Nothobranchius furzeri: one gene and its partners. The protein of the gene in region 3 purifies or fractionates together with the protein of the main gene of each other region. This does not show direct contact. Links are inferred from orthologs where the notes say so. Each region holds a gene or a part of one and is shown on either strand. Other genes may lie near its edges. The genes, in order: copz1, arcn1b and copb2.

The links.
Region 1: the proteins of copb2 (region 3) and copz1 fractionate together in Homo sapiens (co-fractionation; 6 studies listed by BioGRID and IntAct, with this or other methods). This does not show direct contact. The link is inferred for Nothobranchius furzeri from reciprocal best matches to the Homo sapiens genes COPB2 and COPZ1.
Region 2: the proteins of copb2 (region 3) and arcn1b fractionate together in Homo sapiens (co-fractionation; 5 studies listed by BioGRID and IntAct, with this or other methods). This does not show direct contact. The link is inferred for Nothobranchius furzeri from reciprocal best matches to the Homo sapiens genes COPB2 and ARCN1.

Annotation. Positions count from the first base shown.
Region 1 is NC_091755.1:25,754,923-25,759,282, forward strand, and holds the start of copz1 (coatomer subunit zeta-1), read right to left. Parts: upstream 2,866-4,360; 5' UTR 2,753-2,865; coding exon 2,735-2,752; intron 2,320-2,734; coding exon 2,251-2,319; intron 815-2,250; coding exon 733-814; intron 654-732; coding exon 562-653; intron 436-561; coding exon 380-435; intron 285-379; coding exon 207-284; intron 130-206; coding exon 78-129; intron 1-77. UniProt on the Homo sapiens protein: The coatomer is a cytosolic protein complex that binds to dilysine motifs and reversibly associates with Golgi non-clathrin-coated vesicles, which further mediate biosynthetic protein transport from the ER, via the Golgi up to the trans Golgi network.
Region 2 is NC_091753.1:20,850,683-20,854,260, reverse strand, and holds part of arcn1b (archain 1b), read right to left. Parts: intron 2,718-3,578; coding exon 2,552-2,717; intron 1-2,551. UniProt on the Homo sapiens protein: Component of the coatomer, a cytosolic protein complex that binds to dilysine motifs and reversibly associates with Golgi non-clathrin-coated vesicles, which further mediate biosynthetic protein transport from the ER, via the Golgi up to the trans Golgi network.
Region 3 is NC_091751.1:58,296,239-58,300,431, reverse strand, and holds the start of copb2 (coatomer subunit beta'), read left to right. Parts: upstream 1-1,334; 5' UTR 1,335-1,463; coding exon 1,464-1,466; intron 1,467-1,850; coding exon 1,851-1,988; intron 1,989-2,101; coding exon 2,102-2,188; intron 2,189-2,545; coding exon 2,546-2,672; intron 2,673-2,794; coding exon 2,795-2,943; intron 2,944-3,135; coding exon 3,136-3,282; intron 3,283-3,511; coding exon 3,512-3,611; intron 3,612-3,703; coding exon 3,704-3,846; intron 3,847-3,982; coding exon 3,983-4,182; intron 4,183-4,193. Other genes in the region: retinol-binding protein 2-like, read left to right, coding at 1-31. UniProt on the Homo sapiens protein: The coatomer is a cytosolic protein complex that binds to dilysine motifs and reversibly associates with Golgi non-clathrin-coated vesicles, which further mediate biosynthetic protein transport from the ER, via the Golgi up to the trans Golgi network.

The DNA of each region.
Region 1 (4,360 bases), on a different chromosome or scaffold from region 3:
ACAGGTTTACAGCGTGCGCACACACACACATCAACACTTTCACACCGTGTTGAACATTTGTGATGAGAAATACTCACTCGAAGAGCCACGCGATGCACAACCTGCTGCGGGTCGCTCTCCAGGACCACGCTGTAAGTAACCCAAAACACCACAGTAAGTATAAAGAAAAAGTTTTTAGTTAAAGATCATTGGTGGTTCAAACTCACCCCCCATCCACTATTTCATCCACAGCCAAGAAGAGTCCCTCCATATTCTCCAACAGAGCTCTCCTCTCAACATTTTTTCTGTAAAATTAAAGAGAAATAACTCAATCCCAATCTGAGAGATTAATGGTTTATAAACATTTGACATTTTGTGCTAAACTGCTACCAAGACATACCTCAACATCTGACTGAGGGAATCAAATAGGCAGTTTAGAACAGCCATGAGCATAAGCTATTGAAAAAGAACAAATTTCAACAAATAGTAATTATGTGAAAATATTAGCAGTTAAAATGTGACTGTTTTATCTGCTATAATTAAGAAAAGGCTGACTTTTCATGAAAGTTCTTTCAGTTTTACCTCATTTTCATGTGAACTTCCGATGACATAAAAGAAGAGATCTATATTGCTCTTGTAGACAACAGTTAGGCCTTCCAGTAATGCAATCTCACCTACAAACAAACAAATAATACCATCACATTTTAGTCATGTACTGAAGCAAACCAATTACCTTTAATATGCTTAGCTTACTGTCTGTTCTGTGTGTTTTGTTGAATATGTTCTTCTCAAACGCCTTTTGCTCCTTCACCGTCGGATATGTGTCGTCATAATACTGCAGACACACCAAGAAGAAAAGTACATTTTAAAACAATTCAAATAAATCTATTATTTTACATTAAAGTATATAAATAATGTGGTACGTAAAATATTCTTCATTAAAATAGGAAACATTAAGTTTCTAAAAGGTCTGACTTCCCTATCGATTCTGTGACACTAACCCCGGGTTTCCACGGGAGCCGTCAGCAGCACGTTACTGCAGCAGCACGTCTTGCTCGCGTAAGCTGCTGCTTGGCCCTTCCCACGAGACGCGAAGCAGCAGGGGAGCAGCTGTCACCGACCGAGCACGAAGTCACACGAGTGACTTCGTCAGTAAACACAACAACAAGCAGGAGAAAACTACAACATGGTTTGTGTTTTATGTTCTGTCCGTTTTATAATCGCCAATACGGACCTGAAAAACAAAGGAGACCACTAGCTGTGTGATAACTTCTCACGGGGACGCACAGTTAGTAACTGTTTTTAAAAGTAAAGCAACCGGAAGGCAGTACGTTCTTTATTCTGAAAATCTCGAGAGCTTCTCCCCATTTCCGCGTTCGATTTCCTGTCTTTCCTTCCCCAAAAATGTCGAACTTGACCCGTTTCAGAGGCGTCGCGCGTAGAAAATAGAACCGGCGCGTAAAGGCCGCGACATGCTGCTCCTGAGACGCGGCCGACTCGCGCTGCTGACGGCTGCCGGCGGCTCCGGTGGAAAAGGTTCTGTTGACCACAGCGGTTCCTATCAGCAGCTATGACGTGCTGCTGCAGTAACGTGCTGCTGACGGCTCCCGTGGAAAGCCGGGGTTAGCCAAACGGTTTCTACTACGGAAGCAAACATATTTAAAACCTAGTAACATAGTTTTACATTTAAAACTTTGCTTCTATGATTAACAATATTTAAAATTATGATATAAAATTACAAGGATTGAATAATGTGAATTATACTGAGTCAGTAAAAATAAACTTGTTTTTAAACAAAACTTTAAGGTGTGGGGGTAGGAGCCATCAGCTTTGACCATTTTTAGCAATAAAAAGTAAATAAGATACATTTTAAAAATGAATACATTAAATTAAAATTAAAATAGTTAACCATATAAATCAGGAACACCTTAAATTTTAAACAGACCAACAGACCAAGGAATAACGCCTGTAATTTGTCTAATTAAATTTCTCTATCTAATTACACAAAAGACTCCTGTGTTTTTTTTTAGTGCTTTGCAATCACCACCTTCAAATACATCTAAAAACTGTTTGTGTACAGCTCAAATCTATTATTATTAAATAGGTCATGAAAAATTTATGAAAATGTATCAGGTGTGTTGAATAATTAACTTATTGCTTTTGGGGGGATCTAATCCAAGTGAAAAGCTGTAATATTGACATTAAATCAGACTTTGCGTGTTTGAAGAAAATATTTAAAGTAAAAAAGATGAATCAGGATTAAAGTCATACCTTGGCATAAAGCCTGTCTCCGTCATTGTCCAGAATCAGAACAGCTTTGACCGTATACAAAGAGGGTTCCTGTGAAGACAGCAGTACAGTGCGTTGTGTTTAAACAAACATAAAGGACTAGAAATTAAGGTTTGTAGTAAGAAGGATAGTTTAAGAAAAATGGCCGTGATTAGGCCATAATAGGATCGTTTAGTCTTAAGACATGTATCAAAAACGGTTGTAAAAATGTTGTCATGACGGTATTCTTGTTCATGTCAGGTGGAGGACATGACACTTCCACATCAGCAACAAACGGACACATACTTCCTCGACGCTAACTAGTTAGCTAACACTGTAGTTAGCTCTCTGTCAAGTTAACTCGGGAGGATGCTAAATAAGCAGCATTTCGCCTAAATTATGAAGACAATTTAAAAAAATGTTTACACTACGAGGTTAAACGCTTCACTAACATTATGCCGTCATGAAAAAATAAATTAGATATTACCAGGATAGGCGAGTCCATTTTCTTTCTTGTTGGCAAACCAGCTACACGGCTAACACTAGCCTACAATCAATTCCAGCATCTTACGTCGTGCGTAAGAGCAAGGATTACGTCACTGTTGACTTTTTTTAAACAAACTTTATTAACAACTTTATAGACAAAACAGTCTTCATCATGTGTGAATTTTTTTTTTACCTGAAAACTGCACAGATTGAACGGAGTTTGAACAACAAAAATTTATAAAATTATAAACTTCAATGTTAAAAAAATTTGGGGAAAAATAAGCACAAAAATAAATGTTATAAAAACATAAAACAAATCTGAATAGCCTTTGTGTTTAAATTGAACATTTGAATATTTTAGATTAAATATTTCAAACTGTGGACAAAAGAAATGACTGACTAATTCTTGACCAGTTTCAGGGACTTTGTAAATGCACTTATGTTATTATTCCAGTTAGTACATTTTGTAATAATCATAAATAAAAATCTGCATTTGTGAATACAGTGTTGGATTATTACAATCAAACTATCAATCAAAAATAAAAACATTTTAATTCAAAATAATAGTACCCAATTTAGTAGCAACTTCGAGTACATCAATGCATCTAATGCAGACTAAAGAGCAACGTGTTTAATGTTTTGATGAACAATATAAAAAAGGATGTGGTTTTACAGAAAAGGGTGCAACCATAGCTGTCCTCTTCTCCATAAATCGAAAAGCTGAAAAGTCACATAACGGAAAATAAAAGAAAGTCACTTTAAAGTCTTAAAATCTTTCATAACATTTACTTTGCAATGATGTGACACAAAATGATAAACGTAAATCCAAATCTGCATTTTATTTTACTGTCACTCAATAAGCACCGTTTAACAAGCTTACTAAAATTGTTTCACCTTTAACATTGTTGACTTTGTTGCTTTTTGTAAATGGAGGATAGTGTTTAAAAAATTAAATGCAATTCTGTAGCTTTGCAACAAAGTTATAAGTTTAGCATTTCAGACTGAACTTTTTTCTTTCATCAAGTTTTCACAAACTTGATTTCTGTAACGTAAAAAGCTAAATATGTTTTTCTAACATCATGATCTTATTTCCTTGCTTTTGTTAAACCAGAAAATTAGAACCTAATCCTTCTTTTTGATGTCCATAGGAACCCTTTCAAGCATCATTAGAACAATATCTAACTAAAACTTTTGTCTTTAAAATTAAAGGTTCCTCCACTCATTAGCTGAAGCTCTGTGTCACACAGCGGTTGCTGCATTGAAAAACATCATACGAGCAATCTCTCCATTTACAACCCGTTTTATGTTTCTCGTTCTCATCAGCATCTTTTTTTACAGGATCCTCCCACATTTAACCACCTCCAATTATCTTACTTCCCACTTCTGGGAAACTTTTGGAAAAGCAGTCTGATGGGGATTTCCCTCTATCTCAATCCACAAATTACATCATTGTGTGGCCTTACAGTTACCTTCTGTTACTCTTGAGTTCCAAAATAATCATGGAAAGAGATCTCTTGGCTTGTAGAGAGGAATTAGAAGATCCAAACTTAGTTTGTACACATTTGTAACAGAACTGTAAAATCATGAAATGTTGCACAATATCACAGCTATTTCAAAATCCCCAAAC
Region 2 (3,578 bases), on a different chromosome or scaffold from region 3:
CCTCCGGGGGAATCCCAAGGTGTTCCCTGGCCAGCAGAGACACATAGTCCCTCCACCGTGTCCTGGGTCTACCTTTAGGTCTCCTCCCGGTTGGACGTGCCCAGAAAACCTCACCAGGGAGGCGTCCAGGAGGCTTCCTGACCAGATACGCGAGCCATCTCAACTGGCTCCTCTCGATGTGGAGGAGAGGCGGTTCTACTCCGAGCCCCTCCCGAATGACCGAGCTTCTCACCCTATCTCTAAGGGAGAGCCCAGCCACTCTTCGGAGAAAACTCATTTCGGCCACTTGTATACGCGATCTCGTTCTTTCGGTCACTACCCAAAGCTCATGACCATAGGTGAGGGTAGGAACGTAAATCGACCGGTAAATCGAGAGCTTCACCTTCCGACTCAGCTCTCTTCACCACGACAGACAGGTACAACGCCCGCATCACTGCAGATGCAGCACCAATCTGCCTATCGATCTCACGCTCCAGTTGTCCCTCACTCGTGAACAAGACCCCGAGATACTTAAAACTCCTCCACTTGGGGCAGGACCTCATCCCTGACCCGGAGAAGGCATTCTACCCTTTTCTGACTCAAGACCATGGTCTCAGATTTAGAGGAGCTGATTCTCATCCCAGCTGCTTCACACTCGGCTGCGAACCGCTCCGGCGAAAGCTGTAGATACGTTCTGATGAAGCCAAGAGGACCACATTATCTACAAAAAGCAGACCTGATCCCCAGGCCTCCAAAATGGCTGCCCTCCACACCTTGGCTGCACCTAGAAATCCTGTCCACTAAAGTTATGAACAGAATCGGTGACAAAGGGCAGCCTTGGCGGAGTCCAACTCTCACTGGGAACGAGCCCGACTTACTGAAAGAAATGAATCATTTCTAATAAATAGTGAGTTGGATCATATTAGATAAATGTGAAGAGAAAAGGCCAAACAGCTACTTGTGACACAAGGTTAATACACACCCTGATATATTCATTATTACCTCAGTAAATCAGAGGATATTAGTAACACACAACCTGCATGTGTGCTACAGACAGAGAGAGTAGCATTAAAGTGACAGTGTGTATTTTTCCTGGCGATAGGGGGCAGTAGATACCTAAATAGTTGCAAGCAAGCTGCATTTTTGTGTGGAGTAAGACCTTACCTACGGATGCCCTTTAGGGTCAAAAAAGCTCTGGGGAGTGCAAACTTTAGCAAAATGACAAGCACTCCCTTTCATCACCGGCAACTAGTGAAGAGGTAAAGGTGTAAAACAACATTTATGAACGGTGAAAGTTTAGTAACCGTTTGTCGGTAAATCAGTTAATGTGTTTTGTCCTCATGGGCTCCTGTAGAAGGAAGCACGGCATCGCTCAGGGACTTAGACCCACTCCTGTGTATTTTAGACCTAATTTATACGGTTATATGTTAAGAAGCCAATAATATTTTACAACAATTGGGCATCATTTCATTCATTTTCAACAACAATTTATTGGATATTTCCAGATATTAAAAAAACTACATATTGTCCTTTTAACCTCCAGTGTGGAAAAAAAAGTGTGTGTCCCAGAAGCAAGTTGTTTTTCCTCAGAGGACACCATCTAGAGGCAGAGAAATGTACTGCACCTTAAGCCTCACCCTAATTCAGTGACTAAGGCTGGAAGCAACACCTCTCGTTTGTGGACGCACACATCTAGCCAGCAAACATGGCTCATGTTCTTCTCATGTTGTGCTGTTTATTCATATGTGTACATTTGAACACCTACTCATCCATAGAACTGCCTCCAACTTTGCATCAGTTCAGGTACGTCCCTGCTCATGCACAGCAGATTAGTATCCCTTTGGCTAATGCTGAACGCTCAATTCAAATAGCATGGGGCTCTGTAGGACTGGGGGGGGGGGAATCATTGACCTACATTACATCACTTTTACGGATAAAAAAAATCCTACAGAACTCCTGAAAGGGGGAAAACTCTGGATTGCAGCTTTAGGCCCTGTCCACATGTAGCCGGGGATCTGCAAAAACGTAGATATTTTACTACATTTTGGCCTGTCATCCACACGAAAACGGATCTTTTTAAAAACTCCGGCCGAAGTGAAGATCTGCGTTTTCTCCGTTTTGGGTGTCTGCGTGTGGACGGACAAAACCGGAGTTTTAAGGTCCGCAACGTCACTTTCCGCGACAAAAAAATGCTGACATCACGTGTGCGACCTGTGTTTACACTAGCCGACAGCATGGATGTCCTCAGAGCTGCGCTCGCTTTATCAATTGTCCAAGCGCTTTTTGCTTGTTTGTTTTTGCAAGCGGAATTACTGCTCCTTGCGGAAGACCACAGAGGAAGGACGAGGTTAAGAACGGGAGAAGTACTGCCGCCTACAGGTCTGGCATGTCCTTAACAACGTATTTATCCGGCTACGTGTGGACTAGGCCTTAATGACAAATCCACTCCATTAAGGCATCTAGTTAATCTCTATGGTGATCAGCAAATCTGTCAGCACTACAACCATCCCATAATTTGCTCAAGTTAAGCTCAAACAAAAGGCTAAAGGACCAAGCACTAAACTATGTTTACCTGCAGCTGTAGTCCTTTGTTGTCATTGTTGTTGATAATGAGGCGGATGCGTCCGTTTTTGTCATCTGTGACCCGAAGCGTCACCATGCCAAGCACTTCCATGTTCTGCAGGCCACCATCACGGCCACAGGTCAGCGAGATCTTCTCCTCCACACGCAGGTGTACGCTGAGCAGAAAACACAGCCACACAGATGTAAATAAAGATCAAAGCAGTCGGGTTTAAATAAAAACAACATTATATCATGGACATCCAGATGTAAGCTCCAGCATCAGATCAGGGTCTCTTTTTATAACTTCAGTGTGGTAATCTCCAGCTACAGGGCAACGTTGGTGTTTCTGCTAATATGTGAAAATCCACAAACTTTGAGAAGCTGTAAAACCCAAAAGAAAGCATTAAAATCAGGATGGGTACCAAATTCGGTACTTTTTAAGGTACCGATCGAATTCCACAGTACCGACCGAGCACCGATTCACGTCATTTCAAACGGTGCCTCGTTTCGGTGCCCGTCCTTCACAACGAGAACTTGCTAAGACAGCTGCGCATGTGCAAGAGCGTTATGTCGTTGGTCGCTGCGAGCGAGTTGTAAACAGAGCAGCATGGTAGAAAGAAGGCACGCTAACGCTTGGGTCCACTTCACTAAATGTGATGGCTAACTGGGTGATGATGAAACCAGCGACAACGATCTAAGTGAGACATCCTCATCTTAATCTGCTCTGGTAGGTAAATAAAATGTTTAAGATACCGTTAGCTTGATTTGTTAGCTTCCGTTTCACTAATGGTGCGTTCGCTTTCTCCTCGGAACTCCGAAATTCCGACTAGAAGAACATGAACACGCTCTAAAGTTTGGCTTCACTTTACTAAATGCGACGGGTGATTGGGTGAAGATGAAACCAGTGACAACGATCTAAGTGTGAGGCATCATCGTTTTAATCTGCTCCAGCAGTTAAACTGTTTAAGATAACGTTAGCTTGATATGTTAGCTTCCTATGCCACTATCGTTATCATCTAATGGTGCGTTCGCTTTCT
Region 3 (4,193 bases):
GATTTGTGTTCAAGTGTTCAAAAGAAAATAATAGCGTCTGTCCTTATTGTCACTAGGTTGATAAAAAATAGAATCTACATGTTTTCCAAGCATTTTGAATCAATAAATGATCTTTAATTATTCATTGTGTTGTATTTTATTTGTTAGCGTGCAAATCCCTCATTCTGTCAAGGCAACAACACATGTGTTTGGAATAATTTAGAAGAGTTTTGCTTCTAGTTTAACTTTAAAAACCCAGTTCCTTTTTCTGCTTTTACTCATCTTCCTCATCATCCTTAATTTTATTATTCCCAAGAGGACAAAATGGAAGATTAACATTTTTTACAGCTTAATTAAGATAAGGAGGCTGAAATATTTTCTTCTAAATGGGTCACGGGTTCGATTCCAGCTCCCGCCAGGTGTATCCTGCTGTCGTGTCCTTGGGCAAGACACTTCACCCAACTTGCCTGTGTTAGTGGTGGTCAGAGGGGCCGACGGCGCCAAATGGCAGCCTCGCCTCTGTCAGACCTCCCCAGGGCGGCTGTGGCTACAAGTAGCTTACCATCACTAGCAGTGTGTGAATGTGAGAGTGTGTGAAAGCGTCTTTGGGTGTCTTGAAAGCGCTATATAAGTTCAATGCATTATTATTATTATTATTAAAAAAATAAAAAAAAGTACCCGCGTTCAGACACTGGAGGGCAGCAACTCCCCATCTCCCCGTCTTTTATAAATGCTGTTGGAAACCAAAGTGTTGTTCTGTTGTTTTGCCAGTAGAGGGCACAAGTTCTCCGTTCTGTCAAGGCAACAAAACATTTTATTTGGAAGAATTTAGAGAAAGTGTTTTTACTAAGTAACAATTTAAATTAAAAAATCCTGTTCCTTCTTCTGCTTCTACTCATCCTTCTTCTCATCCTTAATAGTAATACTCCCAAGAAGATTAAGATAAGGAAGCTGTGTCCAGGACGAACCAAGACCCCCAACCTTTACCCTCATGAACACATCAAAAGTGAATAATTACAAGCTTTATACAGGCATACTAAGATATACTTCTTATGCAGAGTTTTGATTATACGATTTGGTGTGTTTTGGGGCTTTTATACATTTAACTTTTGAAAATATAATCTTGGTAATCCCACACCCCACTGTAATCTTTGGGTTTCACGGATCCCAGGTTGCGAACCACTGAGTTAGAATAAATATTAAAATTACAAGCTTAAATATTGTTTAAAAAATGTCCATGTAATTCAGTAACTTTATTTGAGTTACAACAGCAACTTGCAACCTACAAAAAATAAAAAAATAAAAAAATAACTTGCAACCTACAAGCTTCCATGTCACGTCAGCAGTTCCAACACAGTTCTCGCGAGATTTCGTTTCAGGAAGTTCCACGTCAGTGTCCTGCAGAACGCTGCTCACTGAAATCGCAACATTTGGACTCGATTGGACGTTAATCGGATCTAGCAAAGACATCCAGGGCGGAAAATATGGTAAGCTGTAGTTTAGAAAGTTATAAGTGTGCTTCTTTTCGATAAATGTCACCCGAGATTCAGTTTAATCTTTAAACAAAAAGAATGAAATGCTTAAAAGAGCCTAGCGGCTAACTAGCTTAAGTTTGCATAGAATATTGTCTCTCAAACACGTTTAAACCTAAATGTTAATGTCACATATATCTATCCTTATTTTTCAACGAATTAGTCACAGATGAATGTGTGACTGATCAACTGAAATAGCGAAAAAAACAGTTTTAATTTCATTTGTTTCTGATGATTGATACATTGGTGTTAAGTTGACGTTCTGCTACTACTAGCTAACAGCAACAAAGTACAGTTTGAATAGTGTCTATTAACACATTGGGTTTATTTTTATTTAAGCCTCTGAGGCTGGACATCAAGAGGAGGCTAACAGCCAGGTCGGACCGGGTCAAGAGTGTGGATCTTCACCCAACCGAGCCATGGATGTTGGCCAGTTTGTACAACGGCAGTGTCTGTGTGTGGAACCACGAAACGCAAGTATGGAATACACCCAAAGAGTAAAACCTTTGATCTGTGCACCATATAAACAAACAAATATGTGAAAAACATCTATAAAAATCACAATCAAAGTCGATCTGTTTTTATTCCAGACTCTGGTCAAGACGTTTGAAGTGTGTGACCTGCCTGTCAGAGCTTCCAAGTTTGTGGCAAGAAAGAACTGGGTGATCACAGGAGCAGTGAGTCACAGGAATTTATTTGTTTTGAGCCTACACCTCTAAAAGCTTCTGTAATATATATATATATATATATATATATATATATATATATATGTATATATATATATATATATATATATATATGTATATATATATATATATATATATGTATATATATATATATATATATATGTATATATATATGTATATATATATATATATGTATATATATATGTATATATATATATATATGTATATATATATGTATATTAGTGTAAAACTGCTATTTGATGTTATTTTAGAGTTAAAACTTTTACTAGAAAACTTAGGAAAAACTACACTTTTCTACTTTATTCATAATTTCTTTTCTCTTCACAGGATGACATGCAGATCCGTGTGTTCAACTACAACACCTTGGAGCGGGTCCACATGTTTGAAGCCCACTCTGACTACATCCGTTGCATTGCTGTCCATCCAACTCAGCCATACATCCTCACTAGCAGTGGTACACTATTTACCCTACTAAACCTATATTTTCTACAGCTTTAAATGCAGCTGTGGCTCTGATTAGGCTTATGTATCCTTTTTTTGGGCACTTGAGCGTGATTGTGTTTTATCTTTGTGCAGACGACATGCTGATCAAGCTTTGGGATTGGGAGAAAAAGTGGACATGCAGTCAGGTGTTTGAGGGTCACACTCATTACGTCATGCAGATCGTCATCAACCCCAAGGACAACAACCAGTTTGCGAGCGCTTCTCTGGACAGAACCATAAAGGTAGATTTTTCTGTTTGTGCAAATGGATAAATGGAATGTAAAACTGTATATAAGTGTAGATTATTGTTTTTAATGAATGTGTGTAAGATCAACAGCTCCTTTATATTTGATTTGGTGCAAAGGAGTCAGTGGTAAGAAGCGTACTGTGTCTGATTATTTTTGTACAGTTCTCTCTCTCTTTGTGTTGTACAGGTTTGGCAGCTGGGCTCCTCATCTCCTAATTTCACTCTGGAGGGTCACGAAAAGGGAGTAAACTGTATTGACTACTACAGTGGAGGAGACAAGCCCTATCTGATATCAGGGGCTGATGACCGCCAAGTCAAAATTTGGGACTACCAGGTTAGAGAAGTTTTATTTGGTTATAGTTATAGTGGCATGTACACAGAATTTAAAGTAAGTCACCAAATGGGGAAAACTGCATTAATTTGAAAAAGTACAGACTATTTGTTTTATCTCGCATTAGAAAAAGCCCAAGTTAGGTATGGTGATTTTATTTTTTGGTCTTTGTAAGTTTTATCTAGCATTTCCTCTACATACATTTATATCCCTCTTTCTCTGTGTGTTGTAGAACAAGACTTGTGTTCAGACTCTGGAAGGTCATGCCCAAAATGTCTCGTGTGTCAGCTTCCACCCAGAACTACCCATAATCATCACGGGATCAGAGGATGGTGAGAAAAAATCTCCCTCAACCATAAAATCCACAGGAACGTCCTCTCCTTATGTTGTTGTTTTGTGCAATATCGTCGTCTTTCCTCTCCAGGTACGGTTCGAATCTGGCACTCGAGTACTTATCGCCTGGAAAGCACCCTGAACTACGGCATGGAACGAGTGTGGTGTGTGTGTGGCCTCAGGGGATCCAACAATGTGGCACTGGGATACGATGAAGGCAGCATCATCATCAAAGTGAGTAAAAGGAAGATTTAATCTAAAGTTGGATTAAACTAATGCCTCAAAATTAACTTTTTAAAAGAAATCCACATTAAAATGAAATAAACGGTAAAAGTAAAAATGTGTACGCTTGTTTTACTCTGCGGTGTAGGTTGGTCGGGAGGAGCCAGCCATGTCTATGGACACTAATGGCAAAATCATCTGGGCTAAGCACAGTGAAATACAGCAGGCTAACCTGAAGGCTATGGGGGATGCAGAAATCAAAGATGGGGAGAGACTGCCACTGGCTGTCAAAGACATGGGTAGCTGTGAGATTTACCCTCAAACCATCCAGCATAACCCTAATGGAAGGTAAAAACACG